Arabidopsis thaliana: one gene and its partner. The protein of the gene in region 1 purifies or fractionates together with the protein of each later gene. This does not show direct contact. Each region holds a gene or a part of one and is shown on either strand. Other genes may lie near its edges.

Evidence for each region.
Region 2: the proteins of ATB BETA (region 1) and SNRK2.3 purify together in Arabidopsis thaliana (affinity purification with western blotting, with the first as the bait; one study listed by BioGRID). This does not show direct contact.

The regions. Positions count from the first base shown.
Region 1 is NC_003070.9:6,092,672-6,100,162, reverse strand, and holds ATB BETA (Protein phosphatase 2A, regulatory subunit PR55), read left to right. Parts: upstream 1-1,723; 5' UTR 1,724-2,097; coding exon 2,098-2,203; intron 2,204-3,033; coding exon 3,034-3,137; intron 3,138-3,219; coding exon 3,220-3,315; intron 3,316-3,402; coding exon 3,403-3,522; intron 3,523-3,773; coding exon 3,774-3,950; intron 3,951-4,239; coding exon 4,240-4,331; intron 4,332-4,600; coding exon 4,601-4,719; intron 4,720-4,867; coding exon 4,868-4,991; intron 4,992-5,177; coding exon 5,178-5,301; intron 5,302-5,407; coding exon 5,408-5,476; intron 5,477-5,557; coding exon 5,558-5,649; intron 5,650-5,747; coding exon 5,748-5,825; intron 5,826-5,927; coding exon 5,928-5,995; intron 5,996-6,077; coding exon 6,078-6,214; 3' UTR 6,215-6,955; downstream 6,956-7,491. Other genes in the region: VPS46.1 (vacuolar protein sorting 46.1), read right to left, coding at 10-296, 629-953. UniProt on the Arabidopsis thaliana protein: The B regulatory subunit may modulate substrate selectivity and catalytic activity, and may also direct the localization of the catalytic enzyme to a particular subcellular compartment.
Region 2 is NC_003076.8:26,708,373-26,713,471, forward strand, and holds SNRK2.3 (sucrose nonfermenting 1(SNF1)-related protein kinase 2.3), read left to right. Parts: upstream 1-1,929; 5' UTR 1,930-1,962; intron 1,963-2,047; 5' UTR 2,048-2,324; coding exon 2,325-2,498; exon of another isoform or gene 2,499-2,835; coding exon 2,836-2,910; intron 2,911-3,003; coding exon 3,004-3,105; intron 3,106-3,178; coding exon 3,179-3,232; intron 3,233-3,332; coding exon 3,333-3,425; intron 3,426-3,538; coding exon 3,539-3,631; intron 3,632-3,712; coding exon 3,713-3,817; intron 3,818-3,893; coding exon 3,894-3,992; intron 3,993-4,069; coding exon 4,070-4,360; 3' UTR 4,361-4,571; downstream 4,572-5,099. Other genes in the region: AT5G66890 (Leucine-rich repeat (LRR) family protein), read right to left, coding at 4,572-5,099. UniProt on the Arabidopsis thaliana protein: Together with SRK2D, key component and activator of the abscisic acid (ABA) signaling pathway that regulates numerous ABA responses, such as seed germination, Pro accumulation, root growth inhibition, dormancy and seedling growth, and, to a lesser extent, stomatal closure.

The sequences.
Region 1 (7,491 bases):
GTTAGCTAATTAACCTCTGGCTTTAAGCTCGGCAAGTCTCCTGGTTAAATCATCCTCCTCAACTTTCTCTTCAGTCTTGGTAGGAATGGCATGACCAGCAGGCTGAGGTAGTCCAACAGAAACTTCAAGACCGTAATCATCTGCTACTTGCTGCATCAAGCTGTTGACTTCTCCTTCTGGAGTCGACAATGAAGTAGAGCCAGCCATTGCATTATCCATGAACTCAGCTTGGACTTCCATGTTCACAAACTGTTTCTCAAACGAATCCATCGTCTCAGACATCTTCTGTAAGTTGCCTGTTGCAAAGAACAAACCAGAAAATGATAACACGAGTTGCTACAGCACAACGTATAAGAGTATTATAAGCCCTATCTTCTTCTCCCTCTATACTACACTTACCAAAAGGAGAGAAATGCAACAAAAATTCATCACAGATCACAGAACATCCATGACGGTGAGAGAGAGCTATTCTAATATTTCATCAAACCAAACCCTAATGCATGATTCCATATCCTTCAATCAGCAAAAACAACAACAAGGAGCAGAATTTTTCAATCTATACTATAATGCTATGAGCACCAACAAAACCAAATTGATTAGATTGCTGAAAAGTGAGAATGTGAAATACCAGTGGTAAGAGACGATTCGAGGGATTTGACAATGTTGGTCATCGATTTGGTGATGGTAGCCATCTTAGCCTGGGTATCGAGTCGAGCAACAACAGCGTCCAATCGAGAAGAGAGACGAAGGTAGTTCATCTGCTCGCTGCGTTTGCGAATGGCGTTCTCGGCATAGATCCGAGCACCATCCATGTTACCTTTCTCAATGGCTTTCTTTACCTTGAGCTTCTCCGATCTCTCCTCTTTTTCGCACTTCCTAGCTTGCCTCTGCAGAGACTTTGACGTAAATTTCAATTCAAAGATCTGGTTCATCAGCTTATCTGTATTACCCATCTCCTCGATCAGTTAATCGGGATTCGCTTGTTTGATCAATCGGAATCGGAAAAAATTAGGGTTCTTTCGAATTTGGGGAAAGATATCTCAAGCGTGTTTCTTCCGCAGAAAGAGAGGTTTTAACTTTTAAACGAGGAGGCTTCCTAACATTATGTCCTAAATCGAATTGCACTGACTGGTTCTATTATTCGGTTATATCCGGTTTAAGTTTTAATCTTTTAATCCGTCACTGAGTCTGAGTGGTTAGTAGTTATAAAAAAAAAACACTCCTTTGACTTATTCGTTTCAGTTTTGATTATTCACCATCCAAATACATTTGGTATAAACTATAGTAATACTTTTTAAATTCATTTGATTTGTACTGGTTTCAATCGTTTTTCTTTTTTTCTACCGCTTGGGTATTCTCATGAGTTAATTTTGACCCCTGAAAGAAACTTGTAATTTTTCTCAAGTAAGATATGATAATATCAGATTAGAAAAAACAAATGTGCAATGGAATTCTATTTAGGATAATTTGGCAAAAATAATTATTTAGTACTTACTAATGATAATTATACATTTTCCCCCATCACACAACACAACAGTGGAAAGCGCAGCACCTCCACAACTGACCAATGATAGGCGAAAACATATGTCACTGTCCACCGATATGTAGTGGTCAAATAAATAATGTCACCGACTGTAACGCTAAGGATACTTTGGAATCAGGACAAAAACATTATAGTATTAGACATATTAACTTATACGGATTTGTTCCTTCGTTTTGGTCTCGAAGGAAAAAAAAAAGAAAAAAGTTATAATTCCACTTTTGTCCTTTTAGAGAGAGAAAAAGGCCAAGGCGTTTTTCTTCTCTCGTTCCTCCATTTTCTACAGAGAGATATATCAAAAATTCCATTTTCTACAGAGAGAGAGAGAGAGAGAGAGAGAGAGAGAGGGACGAAATATTAATCATCGATCAAGTTGCTTCAATCGCGAAAAAATCCATGAATAAAACTATGGAATGGAATGTGAATCAAAGGATTTGGTTATGGTGATGACGCGATCTTCGATTCGATTCGGTGATTAAAAGATTTGGAAGCTCAGATCTCAAGCTCGGATTTCTAATTTTTGTTGGATTATCTAACCCAAAAGCCAAAAAAAAAAAATGAACGGTGGTGACGATGCCGCTACTAGTGGTCCTCCTCCGTCTTTAGAGTGGAGATTCTCTCAGGTCTTCGGTGAGCGAACCGCCGGAGAAGAAGTTCAGGAAGGTAATTATTGCCTACGTGTGTTATAAATTGTGAGATATATTCGGAGTTTAGCTCTTCTTTTTTCTTTTAGATCCGGAGTGTATTTGAGGACTAAGGGTTTGATTTGTTGTTTGGATCTGATTAGTGAGTTATTCCTCTACTACTTAGTGGGTCATTGATGAATCTCTGTGGCTTTTATTGCACTGTTAGTAGAGTTTCTAAGTTCTATGACAAGTTTGGATTGTTGTGTATTATGTGATATTAGAGCATCTCTATTTAGCTGATTGTTGCGAGGTTGTAACTCTCATTTTTGTACAAGTTTCAGCTGTACTGCTGTAAATTTGAATCATTTGATACGCTGATGATAGTTTTAAGTTGAGATTAAGAGGGTAATCTAGCTTCAAGGTTTTGTCTGTTCAATGCCATAAGCCATGTATACTTTTTTCCACTGGTACAATGGTGTCTCGACTCTGTTTAACAGCAAGAAAGGCATATGAAGCGATGAGGGATTGGGTTGTCGAGGGACAAGTGTGAAGGGTTATCATTGGTCATGCATTTTGGGTTCATGAATTGAATTTGTAATATTGAGTTGGTCTATAGCTGCTCTCTTCTGGCTGATAAGACTTCCCGGAGTATTGATGTAACTAGGTTGCCTTCAGAGGCACTTTCCGTATTAGATAAATTTAATCTGCTCTCATGTTATTGGATGTAATCTTCTTTACCGGTTTACATACTCTATGTTATGGAGAATAATATACTAGCTGCACCTCAAGGTTATTATGTGTTTAGCTCCTACAATTTAGTGGTGACTTCTGATGTAATGATTCTGTTTGCACACATTTCTTCCGCAGTTGACATCATTTCAGCCATCGAATTTGATAAAAGTGGAGACCATCTCGCAACTGGTGACCGTGGGGGCCGAGTAGTTCTTTTTGAAAGGACAGATACTAAAGATGTGAGTTCCTTTTTCTTCTGCAAGATTTGTTTCGAAAAAATGTTATGTGCTGTAACGCACTCTTGCAAAATGTTACTTTCAGCATGGAGGGTCCAGGAAGGATCTTGAGCAGACGGATTACCCAGTTAGGCATCCTGAGTTTCGATATAAAACAGAATTTCAGAGTCATGAACCAGAGGTACATTAAAACTTATCACCAGATTTCACTTACGAGTAATTGTGTTCCTTGAGCTACTCAATAAGCTTGCTTTTCAATCTGTTTCAGTTTGACTATCTCAAGAGTTTGGAGATAGAGGAGAAAATCAACAAAATCAGATGGTGTCAGCCAGCTAATGGTGCATTGTTTCTGCTTTCTACAAACGATAAAACCATCAAATATTGGAAGGTGTGACATCTGGATGGATTTTTATATCACATGTCTGCAAAATATAGGCCACTTATAGCAATTCCTTTCTGTGTAACTCGGTTCCATAATCTTGTTTCATATGCTTTATAGTGTAGAAATATTAGGTGTCACGTGTGAAAACTGTCTAGAAACTGGTTTCTTTTGCTTCCAAGACTCAATTCAAAATAAGAGAAATAGTTTGTTTCTTTACTCTTATAATTTGACTCCTCCTCTTATTTGGAATCAAACAGGTACAAGAGAAGAAGATCAAGAAAATTAGTGAAATGAATATTGATCCGTCAGAAAGTTCAAATATCCCTCCTCAATTAGTTACTAATGGATTACCTGCTGATAAAGGGCATGACTACCTGAGCAAGGACTTTTCTTTCCCGCCAGGAGGCATTCCATCTCTGCGTTTGCCTGTGGTAGTTGTACTCGACGCAACTTTTTTTTACTTTTTGTTTGGGTGTCAAATGAAGTGAGTTTTAATTTCAGGATTCTGAAAAGTAAATGCGTATAGATATTAAGCCTGTTTTTTACTGGAAGTTGTGGATATTTTCTTCATGTTGATGATCCAGCTACTTGAGTTATGAAATGTAGGGAATTTACTATTGGCCTTGTTTCCTTTTGTCGTAACTAAAGCTCAGTACCAAATTAGTCTAATGCACTAGTCAATTTGTGTTCTACTTGAACTTATGGGTGTTTCTGCATATATAGGTTACCAGCCAGGAGACTAACCTTGTGGCTAGATGCCGAAGAGTGTATGCCCATGCTCATGATTACCATATTAATTCAATCTCCAATAGCAGGTAATCGTTTTCCTAAGTTTTCCCTCAGGTTATATGTTTTACTCTTGATATCTCTTTAACACGTTTTTGCTGTCTTTCTCCTTAATTTTTCCATCTCAGGAAACAATGCTAATATCTAAAAAATCCTTAGAATTTTATTTTGCATGTCTTTCCATGTCTGGTCGTGCTATTATTCTCTTTGTCGAAAATCTTGTTGATCCTAAATTTCACAACTTGTATTGCATTGTTTTGTTCCTTGTGGTAATGAATCGTTCCCTTAATTGTTACAGTGACGGAGAAACCTTTATTTCGGCTGATGATCTGCGAGTAAATCTCTGGAATTTGGAAATTAGCAACCAGAGTTTCAATATTGTTGATGTTAAGCCCACAAACATGGAGGACTTAACTGGTATGCTACTTCTCCTATTTTGTTAGATGTTACTTTGTATGGTCTTACCATTGATTCATATGTCAACAACCTCCTTACTTTTATTATCTATTTTTTTCACGTTTACTGCTTGTCGAGCATGCTTCTAAATGCTACATGGTCTGTGCAGAGGTTATTACATCAGCTGAGTTTCATCCTATCCATTGTAATATGCTCGCATATAGTAGTTCAAAAGGCTCCATTCGTTTGATTGATATGCGTCAATCAGCTCTGTGTGATTCTCATACGAAATTGTAAGTTCTGTTCTCATCATCCTTTATCGGAAATGGTAGTTGCATGTTTCAATATATACTTAAGAAGGGGATATGAATACGTGGGTTCATTTCCAATTTTTCTCTTTTCTTGTCAGAAATGACTTGGAAATGAAGATTAATAGGCTAAAGTTTCTGACCACTGACCATTGTTGCTTCATATCACAGATTTGAAGAACCGGAAGCACCTGGTTCAAGATCATTTTTCACAGAGATAATTGCCTCAATTTCAGATATTAAATTCTCAAAGGATGGGAGATACATACTTAGTCGCGATTACATGACGCTCAAGGTTGGAAATCATTCGGTTCCCTTTGTGTATATTTTTCTGATTGTGGGCCAATAGAGGTCTATTCTTTAGTTCTTTCTGATATCTTTTACCCTTTTTGACGTTTCAGCTGTGGGACATAAACATGGATTCTGGTCCGGTCGCATCTTACCAGGTTCATGAACATCTGAGACCCAGGGTGAGAGCTTCTTTCTGTGGCATCTTTTATTTGTTGATTCTGTGTTGAAAGCTAACCACGTTATGTTTTACCCGGTTGCAGCTATGCGATCTATATGAAAATGACTCCATCTTTGATAAATTTGAGTGTTGTCTGAGTGGCGATGGATTGAGGGTAGCAACAGGTTCTTACAGGTTGACTTGCTTGTCTTCTGGTCATTGCTGTACTTTTCTGTCTTGTATAAGGAATAAACTAATGACCAATTTATTATACTTAATCTCCGGTGAACCAGCAATCTATTCCGCGTATTTGGAGCGTCTCAAGGAAGTACTGAAGCTGCGACTTTGGAAGCTAGCAAAAACCCGATGAGGTAAATCAGAAAACAGAGAACATTGATAGTTAACCTTATTAAGTCATTGAAGTTTGTATTGATCAATTGTTGCAAAACTTTCGCATCAATGGTATATATTAGGAGGCAAATCCAGACACCTGCAAGACCATCCAGATCTATAGGCAGTATGACACGCGTGGTTAGACGAGGTTAGTGGTCATAGTACCTGTAAAACTTATTCAAGCTTTTACTACTCTCTTCTGGAGTAAAAAACTTTTGTTTTGGACGCAGGATCAGAGAGTCCCGGAACAGAGGCAAATGGGAACGCCTACGATTTCACAACAAAGTTGCTGCATATGGCTTGGCACCCAACAGAGAACTCAATTGCTTGTGCAGCAGCAAACAGCTTGTACATGTACTATGCATGAGTTGGGAAGAGAGAGAGAAGACATAAACATGGAATCAGCTTGCTCCAATTTAACTTTCCCTTTCTTCTTTTCCCGGGTCTCTCTCTCACTCTCTTTCTCTCTTTCTTTTAACAACCAAAGTCATGATGTAACCAGAAAAGGTGTAGTAGTAACAGAGTAATGCTGTGACCAAGACCAAAGCCTGACCAGTCACCGCGACGAGTCAACGGAAGAAGCAGCAACAGTAATCTTTCAGGAGTTAGTAAGGTAAAAAGTGTTGGGTTGGGAAAGAAAACAAGAAGAGGCCTTTTGTTTACCTGAAGAAGGGTAATGTCTTAAATATCCGAACCACCCCTCCTACTTAGGTTGTCTTTTTTTTGGGTTGCTGCACTAAGGATAAATTTTATTTTATTTTTTTAGTATCGATTCTATTACCTTTTTTTTTTCAATTAAGAAACAAATTATGGTGTGTGGGATTTTTTAGTATGAGACGATTGGGAGGGATGTGCTTCAAAATTTGTTTATTGATTCTTTTGTCATATCTTCTTCTTCTTCTTGAACACCACATCCATTCTGTTTTTTTGCTATTTGTCTATTTTTCAATTGTATTTTCAGACACCTCTTTTGTGTTTTTTACTTTTACCCACAATAAAAAGTAGCTTTCTCCTCCATTCCTCGTAGATTCTATTGTAAGCAAATAAAATTATCTTTGACTACTGATTGTAATACTTTAAAGGATGCGATGAATTGAATATATGTATCCTTACCTCAAGAAGAGTGTCGAGGGCAACATTAATATTACGTAACTTAATTTGATTTCTGCTAAGAAAAATGAAATGTTTGCCAATTGAGGTAGTGGATGCAGTGAAATGTAGTTTTTTCGTGGTGCCACAAGATTTACAACTAGATATAAAATATTATGTTCCTTGTTCTATATCACAATCTAAAGACACGAGGAAGAGAAATAAAAGAAGCTTGTTTTGATGCGTCTCTTCTGATAATGTCTGATAGAAGTATATTATTTTATAGATAGAGGATTACACACACACACACACATTTGTTTTGTTGTCATGCTAAGACTTGTTTGGTTAGAATACTTTTAATTGTTATTGAAGAAATCAAATACAGATGAATATTGAAAGATGTGGCTACCAAATGAAAAGATGATGTGATCCTTAACCCCTAGAATATTCTTTCTGCTTACAATTGTGATTTGTCACTCAATATTCCTTCCAAGTTGCAACCTTATTCCTTCCTAGTGCCTTCTGATGCAATTCCCATATATTTCGATAAATTTC
Region 2 (5,099 bases), on another chromosome or scaffold:
ACACTCACCACGTAAAAGTCAAACGACTAACAAAGAAGTCAGCTTATTTGGTTGATTTTGAGTCCTGCAGACAGTTTTGGTATAAAGTATAAACCAAAGGCCTCGTATCAATTTGAACAAAAGATCTCCACTCCATCCCGAAACAAATACTACCTTGCTTTTTTTTTTCTTTGTACCCTATTAATATTTTTTTGACATTTCTTTTGGTTCAAGTAAAAAAAAGGAGAAATTAGTGTTTTTGGTTGCAAATCTATTTGTAAATTAGATGTCAAGAGAAGTGTTACTTGCCCTAGTGGTTTATCACATATCCGACGTCAACCGGAAATATTAAATTAAAAAGTATGAATAATCTATCTTTGTATATCCGCATTTACATTTTTTTTTGTTTCTGGAAAAGTATCGATCCTGTTATATATACCTAAAGTTTAAAATGCGAAATAAGAAACAAAAAGAGTTTAGTTTATGAAAACATTATCATAATGATACCAAAAAGGCTAAGGAAAAACAAATTACAAAAAGGCTACATCATTTTTTAAAAGAGAGTGTGTGCTTCACATATAAACAAGGAAACGCATATAATAATCATCAAGTAGCTAGATGAAGCTAAAGAAGTAGTTAAGTGTGAATGCTTGGCAATTAAGATTGTGTTGGTTCATTTATTAACAATCTTTGACCACTCACTAATTTATTTTTGGCTCTCTCTTCTATATCATCACCGTTTTATCTTTATAAACCATCCCTCAAGACTCTCCCAATATTACATGATGTGTTTAATCCTCACGAATTCGCATGAATCAAAACCGGCTGAAAAACAGATGTAACATTTAAGTTAACATACTCACACCAATCTAAATTATTAGACTTTCATTCACTTTAACACATTTGTCCATACCATGATGATCATAACAATCAGTAGCTAAATCAATGTGAGTGTGGCTTAGATATTTGATCTGAATGATTCATGAGAAACATGGATACTTAATGTTCATGTGCATGTGCATATAATAGTATATTAATCTCACCAGTAGGATGCTTAGTATAGCAATAAAGAGAAGGTGGTGAAATTGATGAGCATCGGCCATTAAATTAAGCACTGACCCATTAATTGCGCACTTACCCATAAACACCATTCACTCCTTTTCATTAACTTAAGAGTAAAATTATACATACACCTCGCTATCTCTAACACTAGTCACACTAGTGTACCTTCCTCGGTACTCTTATCAATGTCTCGTGTCGCAATAAATCCATATAAAGATTTCTAACTAGGTCAATCCAACATCCAATTTAATACAACAGTCCTTAGTAGATTCTAATTTAAGTGTGTCTCTATATATATATGGACCGACAAAATCAATGACCTAAGATTTGACTATATATTTCATGCAAATATGATAAAATGCTATTCATCCAATTAATCATCAATATTGTAATTGGGCTGGCCTTTTGCTTATATCTTTAGGCATTTTCTTTAACAAAATTAGAGCCAGGCCCATCAATTAAATTGAAAAATGCTTAGAAGTTGTCACGTCACTGTCCATGTCATCCATGGTGGGATTGGGCTGGCCTAAAGGACTTTTCTATGTAAAAATTAGAGGCAGGCCCATCAACTAAATTAAAAAATGCTTAGAAGTTGCCACGTCAGTGTCAATGTCATCAGTGTCTATTTCTAACGCCGTCAAGTAACGGAATAACGCAACCGAATATTCTTTCATCACATGGCCGCTTCTGCAGCACGTGACTTTCAAGCTTCTGTTTTCCTTATGAACTAAGTTTTTCTGTTTCCTCCAAACTATTTTTTTTAATTAGAATATCTTGTTATTTATAACGAATATATCTTCTTCTTTTACTTATTTTTAACACAAATATTTATTTGTTTGATACGAATTCTCAAAATGAGAAAAACGAAGAAAAATAGAAAAAAATCGAAACGGATAAATACAGAGAATTTAGAGAAAAAAGGTTTGTATTTTAGGAGACAAGGACGAGTGAAGTCGTGCTTTTTCTTTTTTTATTTCATGTTAATTTTAATATTTTTGGGTTATAGTTTCTTAGGAAGCAACATCAATCATCAAAACGCGGCGGCTCTTGTCGTATCAAAGCAACTGAACGTTGTCGTTTTGGGACAATCCTTATCTCTTGGGGCAACCAATTATTGCCTTTTTTCTTCCTCTCTTTCCTTATTCGTTCTCTTCTTGAAGATATTTTTCCATTTATTTTCTCGAATCTTCTTCTTCTTCCTAGATTCCAGCGACTTAACAACAACAACAACAACATATTCTCTGCTGGGTATTAGATTCGAATTTCTCTTTTTGTGATCAGAAATGGATCGAGCTCCGGTGACCACAGGACCGTTGGATATGCCGATTATGCACGACAGTGATCGATATGACTTCGTTAAGGATATTGGTTCTGGTAATTTCGGTGTTGCTCGTCTTATGAGAGATAAACTCACTAAAGAGCTTGTTGCTGTCAAGTACATCGAGAGAGGAGACAAGGTTTCATTTTTAAAAATCTCATCTTTTTCTATTTTTGGAAGTTGATGATATTTATTTAGTCCAGTGATCGTTCATTTTTAGTGTTTGGTTTAGCTTTCACTTTCCAGATTTATTGGTTTCGTACTTAAAGTTAGCGTTTTTAGATTTTGATGATTATGCTTTTGAGTGCTTTTAATGTGATTTTAAAGATGTGAGCTTCCTAACACTTGAATGATGATTTTAATTTGTGATTTATGTGAAATTTTGGATATTGAAATGATTTTTTTAGTTGGTTTTGAGTGTTCTGCTTTTGTAGATTAGGACAGTTGTGAATGACTTGTAACTATGGGAGTTGCAGATTGATGAAAATGTTCAAAGGGAGATCATTAACCACAGGTCACTAAGGCATCCTAATATTGTCAGATTTAAAGAGGTAAAATTTATACACTTTTCTTCAGTACTTGTCTTTTTGGAATTTGTTAAGCCAGTGACTCTTTTAAACTCTGTTTCTTGTACTTGAGGATAGGTCATTTTGACGCCGACTCATCTGGCTATCATAATGGAATATGCTTCTGGCGGTGAACTTTACGAGCGGATTTGCAATGCAGGACGGTTTAGTGAAGATGAGGTTTGTATTTGGTTCTCTTATCGGGTTTACAGGTCTCCGGTTTCCTTATGGTTTGATCTCTTCTTGTAAACAGGCTCGGTTCTTCTTTCAGCAGCTTCTATCTGGAGTCAGTTATTGTCATTCGATGGTATGTAGAGAATCTGTTTCATGGAGCCTATGGACTGGTTGTATTCTTGTTTTTTTCTAACTTGTTGTTAATACTCTACTTTTTTTCATGTGCTGTGAAGCAAATTTGCCATCGTGACCTGAAGCTAGAGAATACATTGTTGGATGGAAGTCCTGCTCCTCGATTAAAAATTTGTGATTTTGGATATTCAAAGGTATCACAAATGATTTTGTTCTTTTGGTATCAGAAACTATACACTTGTGGTTCCTCCATTGTCATGTTCAAATGTGTTTTTAAAGTGTTTGCTTATGCATTTCTTTTTGACAGTCTTCTGTTCTTCATTCACAACCAAAGTCAACTGTTGGTACTCCTGCATACATCGCTCCAGAGGTACTGCTTCGTCAGGAATATGATGGCAAGGTAAAGGCTTTTAGAGAATTCCTCTGTAATCTCTGTATTTCTAAGGATGAATAGCCAATCATTGAGTGTTACGGTTACCAGATTGCAGATGTATGGTCATGTGGTGTGACCTTATACGTCATGTTGGTTGGAGCGTATCCGTTCGAAGATCCAGAAGAGCCAAGAGACTATCGGAAAACAATACAGGTAACCGCTTAAAACGTTGTTCCTTTTGTTCATCTCTTGATGTTCCTCTTATTCTCTTAATGATTCTGAAACACAGAGAATCCTTAGCGTTAAATACTCAATCCCTGATGACATACGGATATCACCTGAATGCTGTCATCTTATTTCAAGAATCTTCGTGGCTGATCCCGCTACCGTAAGTCATTCCCTTTCCTCATCTCTAATCTTTAAACCATCGGCGAGATGACTGATGTTTGATGTTGTTTGTTACAGAGAATAAGCATACCAGAGATCAAAACCCATAGTTGGTTCTTGAAGAATCTCCCTGCTGATCTAATGAACGAGAGCAACACAGGAAGCCAGTTCCAGGAGCCTGAACAACCAATGCAAAGCCTTGACACAATCATGCAAATCATCTCTGAAGCCACAATTCCCGCTGTTCGAAACCGTTGCCTAGACGATTTCATGACTGACAATCTTGATCTTGACGATGACATGGATGACTTTGACTCTGAATCTGAAATCGACATTGACAGTAGCGGAGAGATAGTTTACGCTCTCTAATAAAAAGCCTTTTTTAACAACCAAAACACTTCTCTATCTGTTCTAAGACCAGTAGTGTTCTGATCCTCTGGTTTCAAATTCTACCAATTTTTGTATTGTCTCTGTTTGTTTCTTGTTTTCTTCATGCACACATATATCATATATGTAATGTAAAATATCATCTGTGTATATTATATATATATTCCAATGTCACACAAAAGCAAATTAACAGTTAAAACAGTTGAAGCAAGTTGAGGTTATGTTCTGTTTTTTCCTCTGTGATCGTCAGATTCTTCATTTCTGGTTTCAATATTTTCCACAAGAACGCAGTATCTTCGTCGCATTTCACTTCCAGATTCTCTAGATTCTTCACAGAATCCGGTAACTCGCATCGATAACAATCTTTCATCGAAATCTTCTCAAGCTTCTTGAGCTTTCCAATTTCTAGAGGCAGGTTTTTCAGTTGGAAGCCACCAGAAACATCAAGAAACCGCAAATTGTCGAGTCTGTCAATCGTTTCAGGTAGCTCTAAGAGACTAGCACAAGAACTCAGTCTCAGCGTTTCAAGGTCCCTTAAGTCACCTATAGCTTCTATGACTCTGCAAAGCTTGTTACAATTTGTGACACTAAGCTTCTTCAATGAAACAACTTGAGAGATCCAATATGGTAATTCATCAAGATTGTAGCAATAGTCAATCTCGATTTCCTGTAGACTTTGTAAAGTTTCAGAAACATCTTCTAATTCGTTGAGAGCATCAAC